Schizosaccharomyces pombe: one gene and its partners. The protein of the gene in region 1 binds, or shares a complex with, the protein of each later gene. Each region holds a gene or a part of one and is shown in the gene's direction. Other genes may lie near its edges. The genes, in order: cul4, raf1 and clr4.

Evidence for each region.
Region 2: cul4 (region 1) and raf1 share a complex: the UniProt entries of both Schizosaccharomyces pombe proteins name them as parts of the clr4 methyltransferase complex.
Region 3: cul4 (region 1) and clr4 share a complex: the UniProt entries of both Schizosaccharomyces pombe proteins name them as parts of the clr4 methyltransferase complex.

What each region holds. Positions count from the first base shown.
Region 1 is NC_003424.3:3,450,816-3,454,573, forward strand, and holds the start of cul4 (CLRC complex subunit, cullin 4), read left to right. Parts: upstream 1-2,129; 5' UTR 2,130-2,240; coding exon 2,241-3,758. UniProt on the Schizosaccharomyces pombe protein: Required, indirectly, for activation of ribonucleotide reductase through the degradation of the protein spd1, thereby supplying deoxyribonucleotides for DNA replication and repair. Also has a role as a scaffold for assembling ubiquitin ligases.
Region 2 is NC_003421.2:100,560-104,317, reverse strand, and holds the start of raf1 (CLRC ubiquitin ligase complex WD repeat subunit Raf1/Dos1), read left to right. Parts: upstream 1-2,053; 5' UTR 2,054-2,146; coding exon 2,147-3,758. Other genes in the region: rhp16 (ATP-dependent helicase), read left to right, coding at 1-1,633. UniProt on the Schizosaccharomyces pombe protein: Component of the Clr4 methyltransferase complex (ClrC) which contributes to the establishment of heterochromatin by specifically methylating histone H3 to form H3K9me.
Region 3 is NC_003423.3:456,715-460,472, reverse strand, and holds the start of clr4 (histone lysine H3-K9 methyltransferase (Suv39) Clr4), read left to right. Parts: upstream 1-2,062; 5' UTR 2,063-2,425; coding exon 2,426-3,758. UniProt on the Schizosaccharomyces pombe protein: Histone methyltransferase which contributes to the establishment of heterochromatin by specifically methylating histone H3 to form H3K9me. Part of the Clr4 methyltransferase complex (ClrC).

The sequences.
Region 1 (3,758 bases):
GTGGCCTCCGCGTGGTGATTCAGCACGTTCTTCCCGTAGATGTGCGGCTTCAGGAAGCGAGACAGTTGATATATCAGCATCCTCATCTTCTTGAATGTTTACAGGATGACGCCTTCTTATGGAAGAAGCAATAGAGTTGGCAGAGGAGCGCAACGCATCAACTCTTTTAATTGGTAAGCTTTGTCCTTGACGAACACGAGGTAAGTTAAAAGCAAAATGAGAGTCCCTTGTTCTCGTAAACGACAAAGCCAACGTATTAATCCTTTTACCAAGCATGAAAAATGCAATACTGCTTCCATGAACAATGATAGAACTTAGAACCAGGAAACAAACTACTGGCCACATTACTTGTATGCAATACCAGTTTGGAATTTCAGGGTTTTCGATAGCATCATTAGGCTCAGGTACAGTGCTATGTACTTCTAATTCGGCTCGTGCAACCAAACAAGTATACAGTGCACCTACACCAATAGGACCAAAATGACCAGCAAAGAGAGCTTCTCGCCAATTGATAATATCAGGAACAAATGATTTAAATAATAAAACGGCAGGAATTCTCCTTGCAATTAAAATACATATAGCCAATACAACGAGTCGCCATACACTCAAATCCATATGTGGCATGTGAAATTGAGGCCAGGGCATGATAGCACCCACGTATACAAAAAAGGAAAGATTGAGAAGAAGGTCGATAACGTTGGAAACATGAGATTCTTCTGTTTTTTTCGAAAACCATGAGTCCCAAGAGAAAGCAGCACCAGCACAAAAAGAAACTAACAAATCATCGACACCAATGATGGTACCAATACCACCACAAAATAGTGCTAAAACGAAGTAGAATACAAGAAAACTTTCACGATCCATTAATCCTCGACGTTCCGAAAATTTAATCATCTTACGGGCTATTACACCTATTATTGCACCTAGCACACAGCCAAAGGTGCATTCGTATAAAATAATGATACATACCCAATCGCGGCCAGCATGTCGGGCAGGTTTCTCAATAATTAAATAAATAGCTAAATACAGAAAAGGAATTGCCATGCCATCATTACATCCAGATTCGGCCAAAAGCATGTTCCTAAGATGACCTGGGACTCGACGTGCAAATTTACCTTTACCGACAATAGAAGAAGCCAACACTGGATCTGTCGCAGTAATACATGCCGCTATAGCTAATGACTCCAGAAAAGAGAGTCTGGGAATTAAAGCATACATGAAGCCAGTACTTACTAGCCATCCAAAAATCATAACAGGCAAAAGCATAACAAACATACTGCGCCAATGTCGAAGCATATATGCTCTTGGAAGTTCAGCGCCAGCTGCAAAAACTTCGACAACTAAAAGGACTCGAGCAAGTTCCTCGGTGATGTAGTCGGTATTACCCCAGCTGGTGGGAACAAACAGTTTTGCAACGTAAGGACCAAAAATGAGACCCGTAGCAGTTGCCATAGCTATATTAAGTTAGTATGCTTCACATATATGAAGAATTGAAGAGTAAAAATAATATGGTGGAATATGCACACTGAAATATCTAGAGATCGCTCTTTATTTAACGAACGTAAACCGAAAGAATAATCTGGAATTACTACCAGCTAAATCAAACAATTCAAGTATCGTTTCAACACGCAAATCAAACAATTGTGCTTTGCAACCACTAATAACTTACTTGCTTCGCCCAAAAAAAGCTTTTCCTTAATAATTAAAGAACATAACATAAATAATGAAGTAAATCCTCCTATAATAGCATATGCTAGATGTGGTTTGGAAATCTCGACTTGACTCCATGCCATTCTCTTTCCAAGTCAACCTGACCTTGTAATTTCAAACCTATATAAACAAAAAGACAAATAAAAAACTTTATAGAAACTATAGAGAAGCTAATAGTTTACTCAAGCACCCAATTGTTTCAACAACTGGCGTTCGTTGTGGATAGTGGAGGATAAACATGGAAAACAATAGTTAGCTAATTGCAATGAGTCGCAGCTTGAAAATCTCTAAAAAACTGAAGAATTTCTAAAGTGAAAAAAAAGGCTTATTTAGTGAGATGGACACAAAAAAATAGCTTGAAAGTGAAATAGGAACTTCGTACCTTGTCTATATGTGCTGCTCTAAACCGACTTTTCTGAACGTCACTACTTGAGCACAAAATTGGTTTTTGCAGGTGAAACTATAGTAGTGAAAGAGCTCAGGCTTTCCACACATCTATTTATTACTTTTTATTTCACATTAGCACACCTATGCCTCCAGAAGCAAAACGTATCGTGGTTAAAGGCTTTGACCCACGAAAGTCGAGGCAAAGACAAGAGACCTACTATGTGACGATGATAGATCGTTTGAACATGGCTTTGCAAGTAGTGATGGCCGGTTTAGGCTTAAAAACAGGTTACCAAGAGTTATATTCGGGAGTCGAAAATTTAACAAGAGCGGATCAAGCATCTCGGTGCTTTAACATCCTACAACATCATATGTCTTCAGGAATCCAGCTTTTAAAGGATTCTGCGGAGTCTTTTATACAGCTTGAAGGGACTGAAACAGACACTAATGCATGCACCGTAGTAGTAGGGTGTTGGAACAAATGGTTGGAAAGAGTCGAGATTGTTCAAAACATATTCTATTACATGGACAAAACATTTCTTTCTCACCATCCAGATTACCCGACAATCGAAGAGCTGTCTCTGTCACTTTTTCGTGAAAAGTTGATGGCAGTCAAAAACATACAAATTCCCTTTTTGAACTCTCTTCTCCAAAGCTTTGAAAATTTACATAGCTCTAAAAGCACTGATCACGCCTATTTACAGGATGCGATGTTAATGCTACATCGCACGGAAATGTATAGCTCTGTGTTTGTTCCCATGTACTTAGTTATGCTAAGCCGTTTTTATGATACGGAGTCTAGCCAAAAAATTCAAGAGCTGCCTTTGGAAGAGTACTTGGAATATGCGATGAGTTCGCTTGAGCGGGAGGATGCCTACGTTGAAAAGTTTGATATTGTGCGCGATAAAAAGTCCATTCGAGAGACTGTTCAAAGGTGTCTAATTACTTCACATCTTGACACACTCACAAAGGGTATAAGTCAGTTCATTGAAAAAAGGGATGCCCATTCTTGTAAACTACTGTATGCATTACTGCAATTCAATCATGAAACCGAATATTTAATTCAGCCCTGGTCGGATTGCTTAGTGGACGTTGGTTTCAAGCTCGTTAACGATGAATCAAAGGATGATACTTTGGTTCAAGAGCTGTTATCGTTCCACAAATTCTTACAAGTCGTGGTGGATGAAAGTTTCCTTCATGATGAAACCCTTTCGTATGCCATGCGAAAAGCCTTCGAGACGTTCATTAATGGGGCAAAGGGATCTCAAAGAGAAGCTCCAGCTAGGCTTATTGCAAAATACATTGATTATTTGCTACGAGTTGGCGAACAGGCTTCAGGGGGTAAGCCTCTGAAAGAAGTATTTTCGGAAATTTTGGATCTTTTCCGCTACATCGCTAGTAAAGATATCTTTGAGGCGTATTACAAGCTGGACATTGCAAAACGGCTTCTCCTTAATAAATCTGCAAGTGCGCAAAATGAATTAATGCTTCTGGATATGCTTAAGAAAACCTGCGGTAGTCAGTTTACTCACTCTTTGGAGGGTATGTTTCGAGACGTTAACATTTCAAAAGAATTTACTTCTTCTTTTCGTCACTCAAAGGCTGCTCATAACCTTCATAGAGATTTGTATGTTAACGTCTTGTCCCAAGCTTACTGGCCC
Region 2 (3,758 bases), on another chromosome or scaffold:
AGAGATTGATACACATACCAATAAAGCACTGAGTACATATCTTTATTATGGCCAGGCTCGTGATATTTCAGGAGAAGAGCTTTCGAGCTATGATGTTGTACTAACGAGTTACAATGTAATTGAATCAGTTTACAGGAAGGAACGCAGCGGATTCAGAAGGAAAAACGGTGTTGTAAAAGAAAAGTCATTACTTCATCAAATGGAGTTTTACCGAATTATACTTGATGAGGCCCATGGTATCAAATCAAGGACTTGTAACACTGCCAGAGCTGTTTGTGGCTTAAGAACGACAAGAAAGATATGTCTTTCAGGAACACCTTTGCAAAACCGTATTGGAGAATTATTTTCACTTCTTCGGTTCCTACGGGCAGATCCTTTTGCTTACTACTATTGCTTGCAATGTGAATGTAAATCTCTGCACTGGAGATTTTCCGATAGAAGTAATTGCGACGAATGCGGCCATAAACCAATGAGTCATACTTGCTATTTTAACGCTGAAATGCTAAAACCAATACAAAAGTTTGGATACGAAGGTCCAGGAAAGCTAGCTTTTAAAAAGGTGCATTCTTTATTAAAACACATTATGTTACGTCGAACAAAATTAGAGAGGGCTGATGACCTTGGATTACCTCCTCGAGTCGTTGAAGTGAGGAAAGATTTATTCAACGAAGAAGAGGAAGATGTATACCAATCTTTATATATGGATTCAAAAAGAAAATTTAATACATATCTTGCTGAAGGTGTCGTTTTGAATAATTATGCAAACATTTTCCAGCTAATTACACGAATGCGCCAAATGGCAGATCATCCTGACCTGGTGTTAGCTAGCAAACGAAAAACAGTTGATATTGAAAATCAGGAAAATATCGTCTGTAAGATTTGTGACGAAGTCGCTCAAGATGCTATAGAATCACGTTGCCATCACACATTTTGTCGACTCTGCGTTACGGAATATATCAATGCAGCTGGTGATGGAGAAAATGTCAACTGTCCAAGTTGTTTCATTCCCTTAAGCATAGATCTTAGTGCCCCTGCTTTAGAAGATTTTTCTGAAGAGAAGTTTAAGAATGCATCGATTTTGAATAGAATTGATATGAATAGTTGGCGTTCATCTACAAAAATTGAAGCATTAGTTGAGGAGCTTTACTTACTTCGTAAGAAGGACCGAACACTGAAGTCGATTGTTTTCTCTCAATTTACTTCTATGTTAGATCTCATTCATTGGCGACTTCGAAAAGCCGGGTTTAATTGTGTAAAGCTAGATGGTGGTATGACCCCCAAAGCGAGAGCAGCTACTATTGAGGCTTTCAGTAACGATATTAATATTACCATTTTTCTAGTTTCGTTGAAAGCAGGTGGTGTTGCTTTGAACCTTACAGAGGCATCTCAAGTGTTTATGATGGATCCTTGGTGGAATGGAGCTGTACAGTGGCAGGCAATGGATCGAATTCATCGTATTGGACAAAAAAGGCCGATAAAAGTAATTACCCTGTGTATTGAAAATTCCATTGAAAGCAAAATTATTGAACTACAAGAAAAGAAAGCTCAGATGATACATGCAACCATAGATCAAGACGAAAAGGCTTTGAACCAGCTTTCTGTCGAGGATATGCAATTCTTGTTCTCAAATTAGAATTTTGTTTTTTTAAAATTAGCCCAAATTTTGGCCGTTTCCTTTTTATATACCTGCCATATCTCCCTTTGCATTTTTTTTGTTATCCTAGTTTTTTGGACCGTAATTCCCTAAGTCAGTATATGCGTTTTGGAAGTTTATTTATTTTTTTGGGGATTCCTATTAATGGATATAATTTATTATTGAGTTGTCAATAGAACGGTTAAAGTTTTTTAAAACAAATTAAACATAGTTAAGATTTTATCGCTTCAATGTAAAGTCATTAACTTACCTTTGACTGATAAATTTGTAATAATAGTAACTCAATAGATAATCATTATATCTTCAATTTTAATATAATATTTTCGATTTTGGAATGTCTTTATACTTTTTGGACTTAGTAAATTCTTTATATCAATCAGTGCCTTAAACTCACTCAGCAACCCATAACTTCTGTTAAACTAGTGAACTTGCACACTGAAGGATTAAAAGTAAAAAGCCCAATAATTTCTCAAACAATTTCCTATTTATGGCATGACTAATAGTTCACCACGGGTGAAAAGAAGAACGGATACGCAATATTTGCATTCCGTCTCTTCTAAATTGCCCAAGGTTGACTTTGACACAAATAACGAAGAATTTTTTGAGGAAGAATTTGAGATTTATGATCCTTTTTATCGCGCAGAGCTACCTTGCCCGAAACCGTCATTATCAATATCGAAGCATTCAATTGCAAAAGTTCCATCAAATGTAAATAAACGATTAGAATTGCAACTTTTACTAACGTCTGGGACATTCTTACCTAATTCACGTCCTTATTTGAGTGAAAGAGTGAGAAAACACACTCATTTACTTTCAAATAGCATTACAGGCGATGATAAACCATCACTCATTCATGTTGATTTTACACCAGAGGAATGCTTTATTTTACAAGAAGCTAAACTAAAATTTGGACCGGTAAACAGTGTTCAGTTCAATGATGCTTATTCGACCCACATTTCTCCAAAACTTCCTGGACGAGCATATGAAGATTGCCAGAAATTTGAAATTGATAACCCCAGCTTGTCTCCTGTGGACAAACATGGGGCCATCATTTTACGAACATACAAGAAGAATAAAAAATTACTTCCAGATTACTTAAAATCCTTTTACAATGCAGGCTCATCTTACTTCCAAAGAGAACAAGTTCATCAACTTATGGACGGGGAATCAGTTTTCTTTTTAAAACCTTGGAAACATTTCAATGAAACTAGTGGGGATACAGTGTGCGTTGCATATAATCCATTGTGCGAAAAATTTGCCTTAGGCAGCACAGCACAAGATGGTGCTTACAATAGACTAGGCAACTTATGGATTGGTGATTTTCACTCAGAAACTATTCAGTCATTGGAAAGCCATTATAAACTTAATCAAGTAGGAGAAAAGGAATACTCTACGATATCAGATTTGTGTTTTTCCAAGGGTAATCTGTTTCTTTATACAGGTGCATTCGACAATGCTGTGAAAGTCTGGGATATGGAAGGAAATTTATGTGGGATTTTTAATGCACCCACAGACTATATTCACAAGCTTGCTCTATCTGATGACGATTTACTTGCAGTAGCTTGCAAAAATGGTTATGGGTATTTATTGAGCACTGACAACTCAACAGGAGAAATTCTCACATCAGCTAATTTAATTTATCCAGAAGCTCTAGAAAAAGGGTACTCTGCATCTTTGATTGAATTTTCCAATTTTTTGGGAAGGTCATCTGACAAAGTCATTATTGGATATGATAGTTTTCATACTTCTAATAACAGAGGATGTTTGGCTCTGTTTGATGCTTCCACTGCCAGCTTCGTTCAAAAATTCAACACCGCTGACGAAGCATTTACCTCCTTATATATGCATCCTTCTCAAGTTGGATTTGTCGCAAGTAGCAATACTTTGAGCAATGGAAGAGTATATTATTTAGACACAAGAATGTATAAGGTTTGTCTCAACTTTACGACAACGCAAAAAGACATTAACCATGCCACCATAAGTAACTCTGGAATCTTGGTAACTTCTAGTGGTACAGATAACCAGACGTTTGTTTGGGATTCGCGTAAACCAGATAAACCTCTTAGCTTGCTTAAGCATGGAAAAACCAAAATGATACATTTTG
Region 3 (3,758 bases), on another chromosome or scaffold:
TGTAATTTTACACGCACTGTCAAAACCGATTTGGTCGTAGAACTACTCGTTCGCTCCGTTATAAACAAAAGAAAGTATATAGCGTATGTTGGCGGAAATCTTATAAAATTATATAAAAATACATGTGTTATTTATAAAATACGATATCAGTTAAAAATAAAAACTAATTCGCATGTAAATAATAACGAAAACCCCTGTTTTCTGCGTATATATATATATTTTTTTTTTCAATTGAAAGACTATCAAATACATGTCAAGATTTTTCTTCTAATAACTTGGAGAAGGAATCTTGTTGAAAAGATACTATTTATTTTGAACGGGTTAACTCTCATTTGTTTGATATCTATGGACTTTGCTCATGCACATCGTACAAAGCCGTTTATATGGTAATGCTTTAACTAAACGAAATTAATCTCTTTTTTCCAAAGATGCTAAAGAACTTTTATTTATTTTCACATTCGTTCGGCAAGTAGGTAATTTCCGTCATAATTCTATAAGAGGCGAATATGCAATTGTTAATATATTTACATCTTGTCCTTTCACACTTCAAATAATAAATAATAAAGCAAGATTAAAAGCAAGAAATACAATTGAAAAATCGTAAATATATACAGAGATTTTGTCTTCGGTATGGCCTATTCCACATTGAAAATTTCGCAACCCGGTATGGTGGCTACAATATTAGTTACATTCAAAGTGTATTTGTTGAATCTTTTGTGCACAGTATATGGATCTGAAATTTCATTCTCATTCACTAGAGGCATCATTGGTAATATTGAATCCCTGGCATGTTATATTGGGCTTTGTTTTTTTGTTTATGGTATGAAGGGATAGGATTAAAGGCTTCGTTCAAAAAATATATCTAATGTACAGTAGGTATTCTGCAATCAAATTTTGAGTTTGTAGTCTGGTGAATTTATCGCACCATCTAATTGAGATCGACAATTATCAAGGGAGCTTTCACATAGAGTATTAAGAAGCACTAGAGATATGGGTCAAAGCATGTATGGTTTTTTGTTTTCTTTATTCATTTTTTCAAAGTTTAAATTTAAATGGAACTTTTTAAGGCATGTTGGCACCACCGATTTGCAATTCAAAATTGAACCAAATTAGCAACATTTTGGATTGGCTACTGTTAATCAACCTTTAGAGCCTGCAGAAAATTTATCCAGAAATGGAGTACATGACTTCTCCATTGTCATTCAAAATTAACAAGCGAAAAAACCAAATACCAACATGTGCTTCTAGAATGGGTTATGGGTTATCGCGTTCTGAAAGTTGGCTGGAGACTCAATCTTTTTTAATTGACCTTGTTTATCTAATGAGCTCAAGTTTAACCATTATTAAAAAATGAATGCTCGAATGCAAAGGTATTTGGTTCCTTACTTTATTAATTTTGCGAGAAGCTTGTTTATAGGCATTCTTTGTACCGAAATCAAAACCCGATAGTCAAATATAATAGTTTTTAATCATTATAAAAATGGCGATGCGACTAATTGTGTAAAAAGTTTTTCTATGGACAATCTTACTGTTGTTTCATTTCTTTTATTATTATAGAGCAATTGAACATACTATTGTTTTTTAAAAACGCTCAACTTTCTTATTTAGACACAGATGGGTTAGACTCCGTGCTGCACACTGATACAAAGTCAGCTACGCAGTTTGGTATCTGCTTTAACGATAACATAGAACTGCGGTAATTTTTCCTTGTTAACGTATTACAATACACAGGTATTACAAGTAGCAATTGAGTATAGGTATTAAATTATCTAGATTGCATTGTGACCTATAACTAATATAGCTTATAACTGAAGTTCATTCCTCAGTTCAGTTGCAGCTCAATTTATAATCTTTTTAGTCTTCATTAGCCAGCGTCTATGTAAATATGAAAATGGTTTTGCGCATTTATCAATAAACTGCTCTAAAGTAATATCCTAACATATGACATATAGTGATACGTTACGTGTTCTTCATTAGAGCAGTGTGTTGTTAACACCGTATTTCCTTTACGGGGCGATTCTCCGTTTCTTTAAATTTTGACTTCTGTAAAGGAGTGCGATTCAACAACCTGGTCGAAATACAAACTGTTATAACATGAATTGGCATTGCTAGTTTGGATTGTTGTTTGAAAGTTGATTTGTATATTATAACTTTAAAATTACTTTGTACTTGATACCTTTTTCAAATTTCAGAGCTTCAATTTTGCTCTGAAATTGAACACATCGACTTTATATATTTATTGCTCATTACTAAAAAACATTCAGTTTTATATTCTGAGTTCGCGGTCGTCTATTATTTTAGTCCTTTAGCAATTGTCATATTAACATAAACCCTCTCCTTATTTTATTTTTTAAATTCGTTCAGGCATCATTTGGAGGGTTTGCTAAAAATCATCTCACCAAACAAGAGGTTATTAGTTTTGCGAATGTCGCCTAAACAAGAGGAGTATGAAGTTGAAAGGATTGTGGACGAAAAATTGGATCGTAATGGAGCTGTCAAACTATATCGCATTCGATGGTTGAACTATTCATCTAGAAGTGATACTTGGGAGCCCCCTGAGAACCTTTCTGGATGTTCTGCCGTTTTAGCAGAATGGAAAAGGCGGAAGAGGAGACTAAAGGGAAGTAACTCCGACTCGGATTCACCGCACCATGCGAGCAATCCACATCCAAACAGTAGACAAAAGCACCAACATCAAACTTCAAAGTCAGTGCCTCGTTCTCAAAGATTTTCGCGGGAATTGAATGTAAAAAAGGAAAATAAAAAGGTTTTTTCTTCTCAAACTACCAAGAGACAATCTCGAAAACAATCCACCGCTCTGACGACGAATGATACTAGTATCATTTTAGACGATAGTCTTCATACAAATTCAAAGAAGCTGGGGAAGACGAGAAATGAAGTGAAGGAGGAATCTCAAAAAAGAGAACTAGTTTCCAATTCTATTAAAGAAGCTACATCCCCCAAAACATCTTCAATTCTCACAAAACCGCGAAACCCTTCCAAACTTGACTCTTATACCCATCTAAGTTTTTACGAAAAGAGAGAGCTATTTCGTAAGAAACTGCGGGAAATTGAAGGACCCGAAGTAACGCTTGTCAATGAAGTTGACGATGAACCCTGTCCATCTTTAGATTTTCAATTCATTAGCCAGTACCGCTTAACACAAGGTGTTATCCCGCCTGATCCAAATTTTCAATCTGGATGCAATTGCTCGTCCCTTGGCGGTTGTGACCTTAACAATCCTTCTCGTTGTGAGTGTTTAGATGATTTGGATGAGCCAACTCATTTTGCCTATGATGCACAGGGGCGGGTCCGTGCAGATACGGGTGCCGTTATATATGAATGCAACTCTTTTTGTTCTTGTTCAATGGAGTGTCCTAATCGCGTTGTTCAACGTGGTAGAACTCTTCCGCTTGAAATATTTAAAACAAAAGAAAAAGGATGGGGTGTACGTTCGCTTCGATTTGCCCCTGCTGGCACGTTTATCACTTGCTATTTAGGAGAAGTCATAACTTCAGCAGAGGCCGCCAAGCGTGACAAAAATTATGACGACGACGGTATTACCTATTTATTTGATTTAGACATGTTTGATGATGCTAGCGAGTATACAGTGGATGCTCAGAACTATGGAGATGTCTCTCGTTTTTTTAACCACTCCTGTTCACCTAATATAGCTATTTATTCTGCTGTTCGGAACCATGGATTTCGAACCATTTATGATCTCGCTTTTTTTGCCATCAAAGACATTCAGCCTCTAG